Linked DNA regions of Canis lupus familiaris. The protein of the gene in region 1 interacts with the protein of each later gene in a pairwise test. Links are inferred from orthologs where the notes say so. Each region holds a gene or a part of one and is shown on either strand. Other genes may lie near its edges.

Evidence for each region.
Region 2: the proteins of GLRX3 (region 1) and PLSCR1 interact in binary tests that used the Homo sapiens proteins (3 or more experiments, as listed by UniProt). The two-hybrid records come from large-scale screens. The link is inferred for Canis lupus familiaris from reciprocal best matches to the Homo sapiens genes GLRX3 and PLSCR1.

The regions. Positions count from the first base shown.
Region 1 is NC_049249.1:39,110,484-39,114,621, forward strand, and holds part of GLRX3 (glutaredoxin-3), read left to right. Parts: intron 1-760; coding exon 761-933; intron 934-1,165; coding exon 1,166-1,227; intron 1,228-3,524; coding exon 3,525-3,582; intron 3,583-4,138. UniProt on the Homo sapiens protein: Together with BOLA2, acts as a cytosolic iron-sulfur (Fe-S) cluster assembly factor that facilitates [2Fe-2S] cluster insertion into a subset of cytosolic proteins.
Region 2 is NC_049244.1:42,190,466-42,195,055, reverse strand, and holds the start of PLSCR1 (phospholipid scramblase 1), read left to right. Parts: upstream 1-1,561; 5' UTR 1,562-1,740; intron 1,741-1,782; exon of another isoform or gene 1,783-1,854; intron 1,855-4,590. UniProt on the Homo sapiens protein: Catalyzes calcium-induced ATP-independent rapid bidirectional and non-specific movement of phospholipids (lipid scrambling or lipid flip-flop) between the inner and outer leaflet of the plasma membrane resulting in collapse of the phospholipid asymmetry which leads to phosphatidylserine externalization on the cell surface.

The DNA.
Region 1 (4,138 bases):
ATGTAAATAGTTTTTAAAAAGAGACTGTCAAGTTATGGTACCAGATGAGAAAGAACGCTGGTGGTCTGTTGACAGTGCCTATATAACAACAGACAAGACAGCTTTGAAATTCAATGTACCAGTTTCAACTGCAAGAACACATTCCTCCTTGAGTTTTAATGTATTCTATTAAAGATGGTAAAAGACTGGGAAGTACTAAAACAGGCACACAGGACTTAGTAGTACAAGGGCAACAGAAACCAAACAGTCGGGTTTCCAGTGTGTGCAAGGAGTGGTTATTGACAACTGGTGTGGTGATGCTTAGAGAGTCACAGTCAGCATAACTGGGGAGGGGCTCTCTGGGGCATCCAGGTCAGTCCCCTGATGGATGGGGAAGTGCAGGGAGGTGAGGTGGTAGTTCAGGGCTCAGCTCTTGGTCTCCCTGGTGGGTGGAGTAGGTGCCAGGGTTTTTGGGCCAACATTATTGATCCTACGATAAAAAGTATGCCTGAATATTAAGAAGTGCATTGACAAATATACATAGACTTTTAAAAACTCACAAGTGTGTTAAACACTAAGCCATACTTGAACACATGGTATAGTTCAAGGTCACATAAGGGGTTCTTGCAATTTTTTCTCTTTACATACTGTGTCGGCGTGCAAATTAACGGGTGAAACAGGCAAACCCTGTGGTCAGCAGCTAGTGTGCGCTGTGTAGGAATTTGAAATCATGGGTATGAGAGAGAGAAGCTAAATTCTTGATTTTCTTTTTCTTACACAGGTTTCAGCAAGCAGATGGTGGAAATCCTTAACAAACATAATATTCAGTTTAGCAGTTTTGATATCTTCTCAGATGAAGAAGTTCGCCAGGGCCTCAAAACCTATTCCAACTGGCCCACCTATCCCCAGCTCTACGTTTCTGGAGAGCTTATAGGAGGACTTGATATAATTAAGGTTAGAACTGAGAAGTCTGTATCTGGTAAAGCATTTTCATTTACAGCACACTTTTCTAAGTGCAGTAATGAATCTAGAGTGTAAATCCCTTAAGAATATTTGTATTTATGAATATGAACCTGGAATAGATCCAATTATTTCTGATGAGGTTGTTGATATTCTGTATTACTGTATGATTCTGGAGATTTCTGTTGTGAATGTTTTCTTAAACTTACACATGTGTTTATTTCAGGAGCTGGAAGCATCCGACGAACTAGATACAATTTGCCCTAAAGCTCCCAAATTAGAGGAAAGGTAAGTGTATTCAAAGTTTCAAATAGTCTGCCATTTATTACTTTAAGTATATCTCATAATTCTTGGTTTTTGCATTGCTTTTTCCATATAGAAGTCGGGGATTTGTTTTTGTATCTCAAGGTCATAAATAGGTTGTTTGCAGTCAGACTAGCCATGAAAACTTGGGAAGGTCTCATTTGCACTGGAGAAATTTTTACACCAAATTAAAGATTAGGTGGAGGATATTCTTCGTTATTTATAGAAATGTCATTGTGTCAGTGGAACAACTCAAGTTTACTTCTTTCTCTGTGTTTCGGAGCTGGGATCCAGTGGTCCTGGTCCTCAGGTTTCAGAAGCAGTCGCTGTTTGTGGCATCATCAGAGTACGGAGTGTGAGGGGTGCCTAGTGTGAGGAGTGCAGGCTATGTGTGTGTTACATGTGTAAACACTTCAGGGTTTCACGCTGTCTTTTTAACCATGATAACTTAGAATTCAAGGAGATTTTGGAGCTGTGAAATTGGTCTTTGTTTTATGAAGGATCTCAATCAGCTTTTAAAGATTTTGTCTTATGGAAATTTTGGACTTTGGCCTGTAGGGAGGCTTAAAGGGATTTTTATTGTAATAAATTTGAATTAATGTAGAGGTTTAAAGAATTTATTTTGAAATACATCAGCATATCAGCCATTCATAGTTGGGGCTTGAGTCTGTGAGGTGAAATTTCCTCTTGTAATTTTATCACCATTCAGCATTTTGAGAATCTCTTGAAGTGTTTAATAATAAATAGCTCATTTATTTATCCTTGATTAGTAAATAGTATCCCATATATGTCATACTGACTTGTAAGTTCCACATTTTCTCAAAAGATTTATATCCTTTCCTGCCTTTTTGATAGGACAGTGATGCTTCTAGTACCTTTGTTGACTCTAGGTCCCCAGTTGTGTTTTTTTAGGGTTGGGGGAGGGGTAGAGGGGAGAGGATCTCAAGCCCACTCCACACCCAGTGCAGAGCCTGATGCGGGGCTTGATTTTGTGACCCTGAGATCATGACCTGAGTGAGACCAAGAGTTGGATGCTCACTGACTGAGCCACCCAGGTGTGCCCCCAGTTGCATTCTTTGCTGTATAACCTGAGTGGCTTGTGGAAGTTGTATAGCCTCAGGAGTTCGCTGGGCTTTGTGTGTGCTTACATCTGCTTTCAATCCAGTTTTCTGTCTTGACTACACTTGCTGTTGTTTGTGTCTCTGTCTTCATCAGATCTCTCTTTTCCTAATGTGGTGTGTCTATTTCCTTGTGGCCTCAGACACCAAAGATAACTGGCTAGAGTTACAGAGAGATCTTGTAGAGAGATATATTCATTGTGTTTTGTGTAATCATTTAAAGTGCTGCCAGAGTGCATAGAGCCAGAGCTGGAGTTCCTGGGTCTGGCGATTGTCTCTGTGGGTGGGACAGAGGGACTTGTTTCGGTTTTCTGGGTCCAGATTGTTGGGTTACTTTAGGTGACTGATGACAATTAGCACCATATTCTTTTCTTTTTCTGAGAATCAACCCAGCGTACTCTCTCCAAAGTGGATGTGACATAGCTGTGAGCGTGAGTTGTGGGTTTCATTTGTGATAACTTTGTTCTCTGAGGAGGTGTTGAGCTGTGAGAGTGACCCACAACACCAGTGGGAGGAAGATGGGGTGACTGACCACCATGGGGCTCAGAGGGTCTTGGGTAGCCCGTGTCCCGATGGGGACTGTCCTGAGATGGGTGACTGAACTTCAGGCTATATGCAGATGCTCCTGACAGCAAGTTAGAGCACGGGGTTTGAAGGCTTGTAGAAAATGGGAAGCACAGAGTTAGTATGGGAGCAATTGATTTGAATAGCTGGTGTTGGTTGGTGTTCCAGCACTTGACAGTTCCCCTCCCGGCATGACCTCATGGATATCGGGGAGTGTGGAGCTGTGTGCGACCTCATGGTAAAGAAGGCAGCACACAAGATCTGGTTTTGGAAGTTGTGGGTGGGCTCTGTATACAGGCCCCTTCTTGAACAATTCCTTATTGAGTTGGTTATTATTATTTTTTTAGTGCTGTGAGTTGATGGGCTTGAATTGCAACTCAAAGGAACATTCGTTGCCTTAAAAGCCATATTGTGTTTTATGGTGGCTCAGGGAGAGAATGAAATAAAGGAAAATGTCAATGCATTTGCTTGTTTAATGCCACTCAGAGCTGTGAACTATCATCCTGCTATCCCTCAAATATGCATGTTACTCCTGAAGCGGAGCAAAAGTGGTGTTTAATAATTGAGCTGAGCCATTTTATATCAATTTTCTCTCTTTAGGCTCAAAGTACTGACAAATAAAGCTTCTGTGATGCTCTTTATGAAAGGAAACAAACAGGTAAAGAACTCAAAAATGGTTTTATTTGTAATTTCTTTTGATGTTAACATCTTCAACAAGGGGACACTTAAATCTTTCTTCCTAGCTGTGGCTAATGAAGCTGTGGTGGCATCAGGAAGTTATCCAGGCCTTAATTGGTGCTTATGGAGATCAAACAAAGTAATCTACATTTTGCTTGACTTTATCATCAACATCTCAGTGGGGTGCATTTCTTTCTGCTGCCAAACTTGGTCAACACTGTTCACTCTGTCCTGGTTCTGTTAGTTGCTATCCTGTCCCCATCCGACTGAGGCCGTGGGCTCGTGTAATGGGCAGTTTGGTCCCAATACTTCCCGAGTAGAGGGAGCCCCAGAGCTCTCAGGGTGCACAGCCTTAGATCATCCTTTAAGAAGTCAGCGATGGAGAAATACACCCCATGGCATCGTGTGTGTTCAGCATGAGTTTGATGAATGAGTAAAACAGTTTGGCAGTTCTTATTTATAATGAGATGGTTCCTGTAGCTTTTTGGATGATGGTACATATTGGTTGTGCATCATTTTGAGTAGCAGGTTTGATA
Region 2 (4,590 bases), on another chromosome or scaffold:
ATAATAAGGTCATATGTACCAATCAGAATAGCAAACATTTAGAATTGATCCTCAAGAAGTGAAGACATGTGATAAAACAAGTATTTCCATACTTTATTGACAGAAGAACAGAATGACGGGTTTTCTGTAGTGTATATACACATAAGGATATGTGCAAGGTTGATGACTGTAGCATAATTTGTAATTATAAAACAGGAAATAAACTGCACCCAGATGATTAGATCGAGACCATTCAGTATCAGAGGCAAGGGGATTTCTAAGATGCATCCTAAAGGAGAAAAGAACATGCCCCAGATAACAGTCTGCATGAAACAATCTTCTTTATGTAAAGAAACACTACGTACATGTGTGTATATATGTGTGTATATATAATGATATTTATTCAGCGCTTACTCCTTAGCAGGCATCACTCTAAACTTCTTGCATATTTTAACTTCTTCAATCCTCATAAAAATATTATGAGACGCATACTACTACTACCCTCACTTTACAGATTAAAAAAGAGGCACAGAGATAGTAATTTGCACAAAGTCACGGAGAATGAGAAGGGATTCAGATCTAAGAGGCAGGTTTCCCCCCTCCTTTTTACTTCTTTTCTCAATTTCATTTTCTATTGCTCTCCCTTCCCACCCCCTCTTCCTTCCTCCCGCCTACTTCCTCCCTTACTCTTCAAGTATCTGTTGCTAGGGTCATGGGAAGAAAAGGAGAGGAGAGCTGCCCAAGACGCCTTTCGCTTTATTTATCCATATTCAGCTTTATTGTTTGGAAGATCCTGTATTACTTTTGTAAATAAAACACTTTAAGGAAAAAAAAGAATCAATGAATCCTTCAGTTTAAGCAATATGAGTTCGTTTGTGTGTGTGTGTGTGTGTTTTTTTCCAATATGAGTTTATTGAGCCTGTTTGCCAGTGGCGGGGGTGGGGGTAGATGGCAGAAAAATTAAACACTCTAAACACATCTAGTCAGTTTGACTCTTAAAAGTTAGCAGCCTTGGGGACCCCTGGGGGGCTCAGCGGCTTAGCATGTGCCTTCAGCCCAGGGCCTGATCCTGGGGTCCCGGGATAGGGTCCCACGTTGGGGTCCCTGCAGGGAGCTTGCTTCCCCCTCTGCCTGTGTCTCTGCCTCTCTCTCTCTCTCTCTCTCTCGAATAAATAAAATCTTTTTTAAAAAAAAGTCAATGTGTAGTTCATAATAAATAAATAAATAATAAATAAATAAATAAATAAATAAATAATAAATAACTAGCTAGCTAGCTAGCGGCCTTTGGTGGAGAATGAGGGATGGGCGGAGAGAGGGAGAGACAGACACTGAGAGAGCCAGACGGACAGCGAGCCAGGACGGAGAGAGCTAAAGAGAAGAAGCCGCATGAAGAAAAGCGAGCTCGACCCCGGGCCGTTTGCACCCGCAGCGGCGCTGCAGGCTCCGGGCGGCGGAAGCTCCCGGGAGGCCCGCGCCCCCACCCCACCCCGGCGGCCCCGCCCCCTCCGTGACTCCCGGGGCCCGGCTGCCCCCGCCTCCCGGCGCCTCGCTGCCCGGGGCCCCGGAACAGACGTCAGGGCCCGCAGGGCGCAGGGGGCGCAGCGGGGCCAGCGGCGAGCGCGCGCTCGGGGCACCTGCAGGGGCGTGGACGCCGCCACCGGGAAACGAAACCGTCAGACCTCGGCGGCGCAAGGTCGCTCCGAGGTTCCGGGGCCTCGCCCTTGGCAGCATCCGGGCAGCATCCGCACGCGGCGGCCACAGGTGGGCGGGCGGCGGGCTCCCGGCCAGGCGCGCGGGGGGGGGGGGCGGGAGGGCTGTACCTGTGCGGGGCGCGCGGGCACAGGCTGGGGGCCGGGGTCCTGGCGGCGGCCACAGGTGGGCGGGCGGCGGGCTCCCCGCCAGGTGTGCGGGGGGGAAGGGGGCGGGGGCAGGGGGCGGTACCTGTGCGGGGCGCGCGGGCACAGGCTGGGGGCCGGGGTCTTGGAGCATCCGCACGCGGCGGCCACAGGTGGGCGGGCAGCGGGCTCCCAGCCAGGCGCGGGGTGGGGGGGGCTGTACCTGTGCGGGGCGCGCGGACACAGGCTGGGGGCCGGGGTCCTGGCGGCCCGGGGAGCGACCCCCGAGCAGCGACCCGCCTGCGGCACCCCCCCCGCCGGGCCCGCCCCAGGGCTCAGGTTTGCCCGCGCCCCGTGGGTGAACACCTGTCCGCGGCGCTGAGAGTCTGAGCTGCGGCTGCCGGCAGCGTGCGGGGGGTGCGGGGGGTGCGCGGGGGGTTAGAAGGGCGATTCGCAGGCCCCTCGGAGCTGTCATTTAACAGTGAGTATTCACTACTGGGAAGGCTGCCCCCCCCCCCAAACTGTGCGAGCCACCTGGAGCTCCGCGCGCGGGGGCAGGAGGGAGGCAGGTGCTTTACCGCCCACAGGGGGACCCTAGACCCGAGGCTCCCGAGTCCGTCCACCTGCCTGGGTGCACCCCCCGCCTCTGCTACTTAATTCCTGCGGACTCCGACCCGTTTCTTCATCTCTGGACCTTGCTGGCTCCATCTCTGAAATTGCGTCAAGGTCAAAAATGAGTTCCGAGAGTTAAGAGTAGGATACTTAACTAGTGTAAAAGCTGTTGTCGGAGCTGTGTCCCGCGCTGCAGAAAGTTCTCATTAGGGTTAGCTTTTGGTATTTTTTTTTTAAGATTTTATTTATTTATTCATGAGAGAGAGACAGACAGAAGCAGGCGCCCCGAAAGGAGCCCCATGCGGGTCTCGATCCCGGATCCCGGGGTCACGCCCTGAGCCGAAGGCAGACGCTCCACGCCTGAGCCACTCAGGTGTCCCGCTTTTAGTATTTTTAATAGTAAAGTCCCTGCTTCTCCGAGATTATTATCTGGCTCCCAGGTGGTTTTATTTAGACAGAGATTCCTGGAAGTGGTAAAATAGCTACTACCCAGCTCCAGGAACAGGCAGGTATTGTTTCTCCTGGTTTAGCAATTTGAGAAACAGGATTAGTACAAGTGTCACTTCCGTAGAGGAAATTGTCAAACGATTTATGATTCCCTTTATCATCCTTGAACTTTCTTAATAGCAGAACTTTCTCTTAATACCATGCTCGCGAGCAGGACAACTGCAGGGCTTTGAACACTGAATAAACGCAAGGAATGAAAATTAAGGAAAAGGGAAAATGAGTGGATTTCTGCAGCTGGATAGAAAAGGTGCATGTAAAATAAATAAGTGGCTGAATCTGAGACGAAGCAGCCTTCACATTTGTACGGGAGCTGTTCTTTATGGGAAAGGAGGGAAATAAAACCCTACACATCTTGTTCAGTCAGCAAGCACCAGTTAAGTGCCTTGTCCTGGACAAGATAGTCCATACTCTGGCCTTTGAGAACATAGAACGCAGGTAGAGAGAAACTACGTTAAAACTGTCCTACACTTCTCTATTCTTTTGTCTGATCTCTCCCCCCCCCCCCTTTTTCTTTTTCCTGTAATCCACAAACCTTTCATTTCCTTGAATTAGTCAATCTCCCTCTAGCCACAGGACTTGTGCCAGTTGCCTCTGCAATGCTTCACTTCCCCAACCCCCATCCATGGCCTAGTTGATTTTAGACAGCCTTTGGCTCTCAGATTCAAAGTAGGTCAGGGACAAAGAGTTCTGTCATTGTCTTTATTTGCTAAAATAATTCAGAACATATATCCACATCGTGGGCCTCAGAAAAATGTTAACTGATTTGTTGTTAAACAATTAAGAAGTAAACATGGATCGATGATTCAAATATAGGTTATGCCTGGTTTATAGGCATACTAGTCTTAGGAGCTATCAAAACTAGGGATGCTTCCTTTGGGCTCCAGATTGTACATTAATATTTTTCTGAAAGCAATAAGAGAAATTTCAGGACCCCCAAGAGATGGGTCAAGGATTTCACTGTAAGATGAGTTCTGGAACCATGATTGATGTCACCTGCATTATTTCTCTTCCCTGATGGAAGAGGTTTATAATTTTCAAAGAGCCCAGAGCAGCAATGGGTCTTATGGTATCTGATGGAATAATTTTACCAGAAATATACTTATATGAATATAGTATATGATGCACTAATCTCTCATTTAACTGAATTAGGAAGAAGGGTATAGGGCAGCCCGGGTGGCTCAGCAGTTTAGTGCCTTCAGCCCAGGGCGTGATCCTGGAGACTCAGGATCGAGTCCCATGTCAGGCTCCTTGCATGGAGCCTGCGTCTCCCTCTGCCTGTGTCTCTGCCTCCCTCTCTCTCTCTCTCTCTTTCTCTCTCTCATGAATAAATAAATAAAATCTTTTTTTTAAGAAAAAGAAGGGTATAGTATTCAGATTATAATTTGAATTTATACATTTGTCCTGAAGTAATTAAGATTCCAGTGGTACAATATATATGACTTCCTTAGATTTTTTTTTTCTTTTAGTACAGGATAAATATGATGTTCTTTTCCCTGGAAGTTTTTCTAGGACTTGTTTCTTATTAAAAGTCCTGGGGGCATTATTAAAAAGTTATACTAATTAATTAATTCACCCAGGACTCCGCCTTACTCATTTCCAAAACTGGGTGACATTACCTCTTGTTAATAGACCCTTAAGTTTGAGAAAATCAAAAGAT